2 linked regions of the Saccharomyces cerevisiae S288C genome follow. The protein of the gene in region 2 interacts with the protein of the main gene of each other region in a pairwise test. Each region holds a gene or a part of one and is shown on either strand. Other genes may lie near its edges.

Region 1 (4,388 bases), on a different chromosome or scaffold from region 2:
GGACTTAAATACTCAGCAAATAATCTCAACTCTGAAAACAAAGCATGAATCGGACGTCATTTCAATATCAGTTTATATGGACCATGTATTTGCCATTGATGAATCAGGCATCACGCATTTTTACCAGAACCAAGTTAACCATTGGAACCCTCAACAAGGAAAAATATTAAGCTCAGAGATTTTCAGTAAATCAAATGCTGGATCTGTTAGTTTATTAACGGGTGGTAGCGATGGGTCATTGACTCTCTGGGATATAACCTCATTATTATCTGCGGTGCCTCTGTCAAGCAACTCACCCATCAATGCATCATCTACATTACAAACCACCAATTTATGGGCCGCCTATCAATCTGCCTCTCTAAATAACGAGGAGATGTTAAACACACTGAGAGAACTTATTTCTTTCCAGACAGTGTCTCAAAGCAAAGACACTACTAATACTTTGTCATTAAGGCGTTGTGCAATCTACCTGCAACAATTATTCTTGAAGTTTGGAGCTACAAACTCCCAATTATTTCCATTGCCTGATGGTGGTAATCCTGTTGTATTCGCATATTTTCAAGGGAATGGGAAAGTTTCACAGGTGAAGGGTGCCAAGAAAAAGCGTATTCTATGGTATGGGCATTATGACGTTATATCGTCTGGAAATACTTTCAACTGGAATACCGACCCATTTACTTTAACTTGTGAAAACGGATACTTAAAAGGTCGAGGAGTATCAGATAATAAAGGGCCATTGGTGAGCGCTATTCATAGTGTGGCGTATTTGTTTCAACAGGGAGAATTGGTGAACGATGTCGTATTTTTGGTGGAAGGAAGTGAAGAAATCGGATCTGCTAGTTTGAAGCAAGTTTGTGAAAAGTACCATGATATTATTGGAAAAGATATTGACTGGATTTTATTAAGTAATTCTACTTGGGTTGATCAAGAACATCCATGCTTGAATTATGGATTGAGAGGTGTTATTAATGCCCAAATAAAAGTCTGGAGCGATAAGCCTGACGGACATTCTGGTCTTAACGGTGGTGTTTATGATGAACCTATGGTTAATTTAGTGAAAATCGTGTCCAAACTACAAAACGAACAAAATGAAATTATGATTCCAAATTTTTATTCACCATTGAAAGATCTGACTGAAGAAGAATATCAAAGGTTTCAGAAAATTACCGAGCTTGCAAATATCGACGAAAATACTACTGTTCAAGATTTAATTACCAACTGGACTAAGCCTTCCTTGTCTATGACAACAGTCAAGTTTAGCGGTCCTGGTAACATAACAGTTATTCCAAAAAGTGTCACCATGGGTATCTCCATCAGGTTAGTACCTGAGCAAAGTGTAGAACAAGTCAAGAGAGATCTCAAAGCGTATTTAGAAGAAAGTTTCAAGCAATTGAAATCTCAAAATCATCTAGAAATTAAAGTTTTAAACGAAGCAGAAGGTTGGTTGGGTGACCCAACAAATCATGCATACCAAATATTAAAGGACGAAATTACTACTGCATGGGACGTAGAACCATTGCTAGTAAGAGAAGGAGGTTCTATTTCATGTTTGAGAATGTTGGAAAGAATATTCGACGCGCCAGCTGTTCAAATACCATGTGGCCAATCCACTGACAATGGCCATTTAGCCAACGAAAATCTCAGAATCAAAAATTGGTCTAATTTGACTGAGATTTTGTCTAAAGTATTCAATAGGTTATAAACAACTACAAACAATTGATTTTAAAGTGCTTAATATATACCCAATTTGCATATGTAGGCCTCTACCTAATGATAATTAGTTAATTTGTATTTAATGTCCGTATTATTTTGAAGGTATTGCTAGATGATTCTTCCGGGCGCCTCGCCGAGACCCTTTTATTGAGCAAACGGATGATTAATGGATAAAGGCGTATAAAAGCTCCAACCCCTTTTTTGGAGTATAGTTTTATTGTCCAAAGGATATACTCTCAATTATAAATGGAAAAGCACATCATGAGTGAAGTTGAGAGCAGAGAAAAGGAGCCTGACGCAGGATTGTCCCCAGATATCGTTCAAGCTACGCTACCATTTTTAAGCAGTGATGATATTAAGAACCTCTCGCAGACAAATAAGTATTATAATACATTACTAGATTTTGACCACTCTAAAATTTTGTGGCATGAACTATTTCATAAGGCATTTGGGACATTAAAGACAAATGACGAGCCTTTCCAGGGTCGAAATTCGGCGGAATTTAAGACCTGCACAGAGACGATTTTAAGAGAAGCATTCCCCACCTTGTCATGGCAGGAAGTATACCAATTACGGGCATATGATGCAAAGTTTTATAGTTGGGGTTATTTAAAGCATGGAAGGTTGGGCTATACCGCGAGTTCCAATAATGAACTTGTCGCCACTTCACTAAACGGGCCAAGTCCGCGGTTCAAATATGGTGTCAATACCCCCACTGAAGTTCCTTGGTTTAACAGTAGGACAACATCTAGAACTAGTAACTTCACTCCTTCAGAGGACCCGTTAAGCGCCATCAAGAAGGATGGAGACGAAATCATAGCTCAAGTATCTAGTGGTGGTTTTTCTTTCCAAATATTGACTGAGTCAGGTAACCTTTACAGCAGCGGATCCACTTTTTCTGGAGGGTTAAAAGGACCAGGTCCCAGTGGTTCACAGCATGATTATAATCCCTTCAGAGAAATGATTCACAATATGGAAAGATCGTATCCGCGGATCACTAGCCGCAGTAATGGGAGTACTGTCAATACCACGGGTACATTTTCTGGAAGGAGAATGAGCGGTAGCCATCCATCTACTGCTTATGAACCAGGAAATGCAACTACAGCTCAGCATATTACCATAGATAGCGGAGGTGCGCCTGCAGCCTCTCCCGGAGGGAGCCATAGTGGTGTCCCTAGAACTACAATGCCTTCAATGGGGCCGCATGAGAATATTTACAGCCAGATAGAAATGCTGGAACGAAGTGCTAACAAGGCTGTACCAGGAAATAATCATATCAGGAGAATGTTCGCAAGAAATTCTTTCCCATTATATAGTGGTAGGGATGAAAATTTAGGATCATTTAATGATATTCAATTTGTCGCGGTAAGCTCTGGGAGAAGTCATTTCCTAGCAATGGATACAGATAACAATATTTATTCTTGGGACTCAACGGAATCTGACCAAGGTGTCAAAATTGAGTTTGCTAACCTACCTAGTCGTGCTACGAATCCTATTTTGAAAATTGCTAGTGGTTGGAATTTCAATTGTTGCTATATATATAAGGTCGGGTTGGTTGCATGGAAAGAAAGAGATGCTATTCAAAAGGGCGAGAGCTTTGCTTTTGCAAAATACGAGATTGTCCCGAATACGAATGATGTTAATGGAGACTCCAGGATTGTCGACTTTGCATGTTTACAAGATAACTGCGTTTTCTTCATTAATAACAACGGCGATAAACTATGGAAGTACCACAATGGACTGAACCAGATAGTAGATTTAAATATTGTCGGAAAACTGTGCAAAATTAACGCCTGTTTTGCTTCATTAGTCCTCTTCACCGATACTCACTGTTATACTTTGAAAGTAACAAATGGAGATGTCGATAAAGATAGTTTAACGGAGCTAGACATCAATGAAAATGTTATCTCCGTTGCAAGTGGTGACTATCACACGGTGGCACTAACCGAACGCGGTCATTTGTATTCATGGGGTATTGAAAGTCAGGATTGTGGGTGCTTAGGATTGGGCCCTTCTGAAAAAATAGTTAACGAGCTACATATTGGCAATTGGGAAGGGCAAAGAAACATTAGGGTCGTTAAGCCCACGAAAATAGAACTACCTGAAGATTATATTTGTGTCAGTGTAACTGCTGGTGGCTGGCAAACCGGTGCATTAATCATCAAGAAGCATTGAATTTTTAGGTGTCATTTCGATTTTGCATTTTGGATTCCGTTTGGGTGCTCACTATCTTTTTCTTCTACATTGAGGTAATGCATATTTTATTAATACATATTTATAATATTTACTTTGGTTTTTTTATTTCCAAACAAATGTAAAAAGAACTACAGGTTTAAAATCAATCTCCCTTCACTTCTCAATATTCTATTCTTCTTGTAAAGTTTCCTTTTCTTCCTCTGGTTTTTGTTCAGTATGAACAGCATCTGAAGTTTCGGGCGTATCAGCTGCACGGTTTTCATCTTGTTTATTTTCTTCATCTTGTTCATTCTCTTTTTCCTGTTTGATTTCTTCATCCTTCTCATTTTCTCCTTCTTGCTCAGAACCTTCTGTTTTTGAATCGCCTTCCGATTCTTTCTTAACGTCTTCTGGTTGCTCCTCGTCTTCATCGTCTTCTTCATCTACAGTGGCGAAATTTATGGGGTCAAACTTCATTCTTAACTTGTCCCTTATGTTAG
Region 2 (7,436 bases):
CCGGATCATTCGGTACTGCATCTTATTCCCGTGCCAAGGTCTCTGGGTGTTGCTGATTTCCGGGTATCCAGAGCTCTATCTGCTTCCGTACCCAGTGAGTGAGCTAAAATAAAAAAGGGGCCTCGGCGGAATTTGAATTCGGGTTACGTTTCCCACGGAGCCCCGGATAGAAAAGATTAGTTTCAGGTACATGTGTCAAATGAGGATAAATCTCAAACACCCATGTACCGAAAATCGATGTGTTGGTTATATTACAAGGTTGGAATAGACCACGGTGATAAGACGTGGAATTTTTGACTGACCATGCGACTCTGAAGGTGTTAACCGGAGGAATTCACGTAATTTACATCTCAAGAACAGCAGAACAAAGATCGAGTATATGATGAAATTTCGTTTTACATGAATAAAGTCATATTTTAACTCACTGTGCACGGATTAAGGGCTGTGATTTAGTGGGACGAGTGGTTCTACACTACTCAAGAAGTCACGCTGTCATTTGATGGAATTACAGTGCTTATTAGGAGCCGTGTAGCTTAGTGTGAATTGATGGAAGCTTTCGAGTTTCATAGAACATATCTGGTGAATGTATATGAGTTTTTCATTCCTTTTACGAGACGCAACTTTCCGCGGTTACGGAACTGTTGTTTTGTTTTACATCTTTTCATTTTTCATACATTTTATTGAGGCGTAGAAATGAAATGGGTAGAGCGGCACATGGATGTAACAATCTCCATTATTCACGTCGAGCCGATACCCGCTTCTGTTGACGCTCTGTTAAGCATAGAACCTACGAGATTTGTGCTAAAGGACGTTGGCAAGGAAGAAAACTATTGTTGATGACAGGATTTATAGCAGTAAATATTTTTTTCTTTTTTGCGAAATTATGTACGTTTCTCATCCAAGAAGAATCCTGTTAATATTTAAATTTCTGCTAGTCATTATCATATTGCAATGGCTTTTATTAGTGAAAGCCACTGTCAACAGTAACTGAGCTACTCCCTCCAATGTTGTCTAACTCTATGCTCTTTTTGGCGTCTGAATGAGCCATAACGAGGGAAATAACTGTATCAGGAATACTAACAGAATACAGATTGGATGCACTGGTGCTGGTGAGTTTTCTTTTTCTGATATTATTGGATAATATTTTCAGCTATAGACTATCATCATTCAGCATTGGTCACGCTAAAATATACGTTCCATGCATACGTGATAGCCTACTCGGTTGTCAACTTCATTTTATAGGCTGCCTGGTCACCGATTACCGCCCCGCTCAGCAGGACGGTTTAAGCTTCTGTTCTTGGAAACGACGTAATTCATGTCGGCCATCGAAATCATTCCTGGCTTTGTAATAGTCATAATGAACAAGGAATGCTGTCTTGGGTTTTTTTCCCTTTGCGAATACCCGGGCTGCCAAAATAGAAAAGGAACAAATGGTAGGTCTTTAAGATAAGAAAGATAAGATAAGACATCTTTTTTTTTTTTTTTTTTTTTTTTTTTTTTTTCCGATAACAAAGAAGAATCCTTCGGTCTCTTCTTACTGCTGTTACTGCTTATCAAGAGTGTCTGGTAATAGTCAAAGCCAGATAAGATAAGAAATGTAAAATCGACTATTTCCCTCGTAAAAAGCTTCAATTGCTCACGCATCGACGAATACTAAGCGGCGTGAAGACCCTGTGCCTTATCAATGAAGTATTCAGTACAAGAGGTGTTCATTCCGAGCCACTTTTCTGCACCATATATAAGCAGTAGTTACACATGTGCTAACCAAACATCAGTGGGTAGTAATCATTCGTGCTTTCACGTCCTTTCAAATTAAATATCCTTCTTAAATAATAAGTCTGCACAGAGCTTTGAAAGAAGTTTAGTTTTGTAATATATCATACTTAATATATTACAATACAATATCAACAATGTCTTACAATTTTACAGGTACGCCTACAGGCGAAGGAACGGGTGGTAACTCGTTGACAACAGATTTGAATACACAATTTGACTTGGCCAACATGGGATGGATCGGTGTGGCTTCAGCAGGTGTGTGGATTATGGTCCCAGGTATCGGTTTATTATATTCTGGTTTATCCAGGAAAAAGCATGCTTTATCCTTGCTTTGGGCCTCGATGATGGCTTCCGCCGTGTGTATTTTCCAATGGTTTTTCTGGGGATACTCATTAGCTTTCTCACACAACACTAGAGGTAACGGTTTTATTGGTACCTTGGAATTCTTTGGGTTTCGTAACGTTTTAGGAGCCCCATCTAGTGTCAGTTCTCTTCCCGATATACTGTTTGCCGTTTACCAAGGTATGTTTGCCGCAGTCACCGGTGCCCTAATGCTAGGTGGTGCCTGCGAGAGGGCAAGGTTGTTTCCTATGATGGTGTTCTTGTTTTTATGGATGACTATTGTTTATTGTCCTATTGCATGCTGGGTCTGGAATGCCGAGGGTTGGTTGGTCAAATTGGGTAGCTTGGACTATGCAGGTGGTTTATGTGTCCATTTAACATCTGGACATGGTGGTCTAGTTTACGCTTTGATACTGGGTAAGCGTAATGACCCTGTTACACGTAAAGGGATGCCCAAGTACAAACCACATTCCGTCACCTCGGTGGTTTTAGGCACAGTGTTCTTATGGTTTGGTTGGATGTTCTTTAACGGAGGCTCTGCAGGTAATGCAACTATACGAGCATGGTACTCTATTATGTCCACAAACTTAGCTGCTGCTTGCGGTGGCTTGACATGGATGGTTATCGATTATTTCAGATGCGGAAGAAAGTGGACTACAGTTGGTTTGTGTTCAGGTATCATCGCTGGCCTAGTGGGTATCACCCCAGCCGCCGGGTTCGTGCCAATCTGGTCAGCCGTTGTCATTGGTGTGGTTACTGGTGCAGGATGTAACCTTGCTGTTGACTTAAAGAGTCTATTGCGCATCGATGATGGTCTAGATTGTTACTCTATCCATGGTGTGGGTGGTTGTATTGGTTCTGTATTAACTGGTATCTTTGCTGCAGACTATGTAAATGCCACTGCAGGCTCTTACATTAGTCCAATTGATGGTGGCTGGATCAATCATCACTATAAACAAGTTGGTTATCAATTAGCAGGTATATGCGCTGCACTAGCCTGGACTGTTACTGTCACATCTATCTTGCTTCTAACTATGAATGCCATTCCATTTTTAAAACTAAGATTAAGTGCTGATGAGGAAGAATTAGGTACCGACGCTGCTCAAATTGGTGAATTTACATACGAGGAATCCACTGCTTACATCCCAGAACCAATCAGATCTAAAACATCGGCACAAATGCCACCTCCTCATGAAAACATTGATGATAAGATTGTGGGTAACACAGACGCAGAAAAGAATTCTACGCCTTCCGACGCTTCTTCTACTAAGAACACTGACCATATAGTATAATGATATACTCAAGCAGACTATGATTTTATGTTTAATCTTTATGTAACGCTTCATTTAATAATTTTATTTTTAATATTTGATATATTTTCTTTTTTTGATAACTCCGAATGATGAGGGGAGACGTTAGTATTACTTCTCTTGTCTTATGTTATTATCATAATCGATGACTTTAACTGTGCACACTATAATATACAGCATCTCCAGAGCATGATAGCAAGAAATTTTCTTTAAGAAAGCCTCTATATACCCTATATATGCTGTTAACAGGAAAAGAGCACAAGGTTTATTTTGCTTTGGTTGCAAATTTTCATCGCTTATAGAAGACATATTTTGATGTAAAAACCTTGATATACTTCCTTTTTGCCTTATCTTTCACTGTTTCCATCTCTTTTCTTTTTTTTTTTTTTTTTTTTTTTTTTTTTTTTTTTTTTTTTTGAATCTTAAAATTCTCGAAACTGCACTGAAATGGCGCAGGAAACTGACCTCATCGCATGCCAACGAAGATTGAAAAAAATTAACATATAAGGCTTATGAAAGCGACATCTTTTGCAAATGAATAATTGACAAGCAGGCCTGTGTATTTATAGTTATTTTGAAATAATAACTACCATTAGAACTAACAAAAGAAAAGAAAAAAAAAATAATGGTTTCTGTGGAGTTTTTACAGGAGTTACCAAAATGTGAGCATCACTTGCATTTGGAAGGTACTCTAGAACCTGACCTATTGTTCCCATTAGCTAAAAGAAACGATATAATTCTACCTGAAGGTTTTCCTAAATCGGTCGAGGAATTAAACGAAAAGTATAAGAAGTTTCGTGATCTGCAGGATTTCTTAGATTACTATTATATTGGTACTAATGTCTTGATTAGTGAACAAGATTTCTTTGATTTGGCGTGGGCCTATTTTAAAAAAGTTCACAAACAAGGCTTGGTCCATGCTGAAGTGTTTTACGACCCTCAGTCACATACATCTAGGGGCATCTCCATAGAAACAGTCACTAAAGGTTTCCAAAGAGCTTGTGACAAAGCCTTCTCTGAATTTGGTATTACATCCAAGCTAATTATGTGTCTGTTAAGACACATTGAACCAGAGGAATGTTTGAAAACTATCGAAGAAGCTACCCCATTTATTAAAGATGGTACTATCTCTGCCTTAGGATTAGATTCTGCTGAGAAACCATTTCCCCCACATTTATTTGTTGAATGTTACGGAAAGGCCGCCTCATTGAATAAAGATTTAAAACTAACTGCACACGCAGGTGAAGAAGGCCCCGCTCAATTCGTCTCGGATGCTTTAGACTTGTTGCAAGTAACAAGAATCGATCACGGTATCAACAGTCAATACGACGAGGAGTTATTGGATAGGTTGTCGCGCGACCAGACCATGCTAACTATTTGTCCTCTCTCCAACGTGAAGCTACAAGTAGTCCAATCCGTTTCAGAGTTACCACTACAAAAGTTTCTTGACAGAGATGTTCCATTTTCTTTAAATTCTGATGACCCCGCCTATTTTGGTGGTTATATCTTAGATGTCTACACTCAAGTTTCGAAAGATTTCCCACACTGGGACCATGAAACATGGGGTCGTATCGCTAAGAACGCCATTAAAGGTTCATGGTGTGACGATAAAAGAAAGAACGGTTTGTTAAGTAGAGTGGACGAAGTAGTCACTAAATATTCGCATTAGTACCATTTGCAAGACATTGTATAATATTTTTGTTGAAAGTCTTTTTCGATTCATAAGCGCTTTTTTGTAAATTTATAACACTATGTGTATGCACAAATTTCATTCGATGTTTTTGATGCTTTTTACATCCCCTTTTGTGTGGGAAAGGATACAATAGAATTCTACAAACTTATTTGAGTGATTATACGAGCATTAGCTGGACCTTTTGTATTTCACGAGATTACAATTCGGGAACTATCAAAGTACACGTTAAAATTCAGCTCGGGTATGTTAAGTACTAGTAATTACCTCTGGTACCTACTGACGTAATTCCCACCCTTGGGACCTTGCGGAAGCGCCTGAGTATTGCTCTTTCTATTTCCGTTGTACCTTTGATTTTCATTGGCTCTATGGGCAGCACCGCTATCTCGTGTATTTCTATAATCTTGCGTTTGAAATTTGTTTCTAATTGTTTCATCCTTCTTGAATCTTTTATTCGGCTTTTCTTCATTTTCTGAAGGCGAGTCGCGCTTGTAAGATGAAGCTTGGTAAGGGTTGGCTTTGCTGCTGTCTTTGCCCTCTTGAAATGGCTTTTCAGGAAACCGTAATTGTGAACGTTGTGAACTGTTTTTCTTATACTCTTCACGTAAGCGGTTATCCCTTTGATCAAAACCATCGCCCCTGTCCGGACCTGTGGGTCTAAGTGCCCTACTTCTATCATTATATGTTTTACTTTTACTAGGTCTAGTTGGTAGTTCTGACCTTTTATGTGCATAACTACTGATTGGCTTAATATTTTTGGGTGCAGAACGATCATTGCTTGGTCCTCTATAGTTGGAACTACCATAACCATCTTTGCCTCCAGCATTTCCGCTGTACCTACTTGATCTTTTGGTATATTCAGGAGCAGCAGCTTCAGAATATGAGCTAGTCGTATCTGGGTATGGCTCGCGCGAGATATTTTTAATATACCTTTTAAGCGAATCAATTTTTTCTGCAAAATCTGGATTTTGAGGATTTTGAATGAGTGTCCTAAAGTACCTTTCGAATATTTCCAAAGTCGAATTTCTAAAGTCGAATATTGGCATATTTTGCTTAGATAATTTCCTTAAATTCCGAGTTTCATCGTCGTTCTCTACTAAGGAAATTGCCTTTTGTAAATGGTTCGTGGCCAAATAATGGTTTATATCGTCGACGTGCCTGGTGACTTTGGAATATGACCATTGACTACTAGAAGGTTTTGTTGGGATTACAGGCTCATTACGAGAATAAGTATATCTATCCTTGCTATTTAATCCAGCACTGCCGCTTGCAACACTTTTGGGTGGATCATTTTGAAGTCTTTGCGACTTATTAAGCTCTAACTGCTTTCTTAAAGCTACTTGCTTTTGTTCATTTTGGCAAGCTGTTTCATAATTTTTGATCTCTTCTAATTCCATTTCACGTATTCTCTTTTGTTCAGCTTCCTCTTCAGTTAAGGTGCAGAATTCGTCCAATTCTAAAGCGTCCTTCAAACGCGCTTTCAAATGGCCAATCAATGCGCTGCTTGGTAGTTTAATATCCTCCCTTTCTTCATTTATCAAGTTTTCCTCTAAAGTTGTGTAAACCAACTGGATATGAGCTTTCACTACAGGGAAGACACTAGTGACGTGCTTCATGAATTCAATACCGTTTCTAATTGACATGTAATTTTTTTCGGATAAAAGGTCAATGACTTGCTCGGTAATTACTGAATGCCATTCATAAAGCTTTCGAGAAGCTTGGTCGTTGAAATCGCCATTTAATCTCATTTTTTCAAGCTTTTTAAGAACGTCAGTGAAAAACAGACCTAAATTGCCTGCTTCAGAGCTAGTACAACAGAACAGCAACGTTTTTAAAATATTTGATGTAATACAAGTATTCAATATCGACATCAAATTTTCTGTCCTAAAAGCCATAAAGATAAAAAACGAAGAGAAGAGAGCATCTGAAGGAGAAAATAAAACCCTTGGCACAACACAATTCTGCAAGAATATCTTAATTTGATCTTCCCCGCAGTCTTTGTTCCAGACATTTGATTTTTCAGATATAAATTCTGAAGTTTTCTTGAAGGCTCTTTGATGCGAAATTCCAGTAACCAAAATATCCTTGATTTGATTCTGAATCAGGTGTTTTTTTCTATTTGACATGTGGCCCGTGTTTTCTCCGGATAGTGCATTCTTACGCTCGTCATATAGTGATTTATCGAAATGGATATCGTATAATGAAAGTCTCCAAAAAGTAGTGAAAAGATCCTTTGATATTTTCGTTAAATCAACATCGCTAAACTCTGCACCTTCAATTAATTCATCAATAGAAAAATTCTCATTTGAGTTCAATTG

Evidence for each region. The genes of interacting proteins can lie anywhere in the genome.
Region 1: the proteins of AAH1 (region 2) and SAF1 interact in binary tests that used the Saccharomyces cerevisiae proteins (3 or more experiments, as listed by UniProt).

The regions. Positions count from the first base shown.
Region 1 is NC_001134.8:762,284-766,671, reverse strand, and holds SAF1 (SCF ubiquitin ligase complex subunit SAF1), read left to right. Parts: upstream 1-1,974; coding exon 1,975-3,888; downstream 3,889-4,388. Other genes in the region: glutamine amidotransferase subunit DUG2, read left to right, coding at 1-1,702; PAF1 (Paf1p), read right to left, coding at 4,078-4,388. UniProt on the Saccharomyces cerevisiae protein: Substrate recognition component of a SCF (SKP1-CUL1-F-box protein) E3 ubiquitin-protein ligase complex which mediates the ubiquitination and subsequent proteasomal degradation of target proteins.
Region 2 is NC_001146.8:355,543-362,978, forward strand, and holds AAH1 (adenine deaminase), read left to right. Parts: upstream 1-4,053; coding exon 4,054-5,097; downstream 5,098-7,436. Other genes in the region: YNL143C (uncharacterized protein), read right to left, coding at 1,252-1,644; ammonium permease MEP2, read left to right, coding at 1,911-3,410; YNL140C (uncharacterized protein), read right to left, coding at 5,375-5,944; THO2 (Tho2p), read right to left, coding at 5,382-7,436. UniProt on the Saccharomyces cerevisiae protein: Catalyzes the hydrolytic deamination of adenine to hypoxanthine. Plays an important role in the purine salvage pathway and in nitrogen catabolism.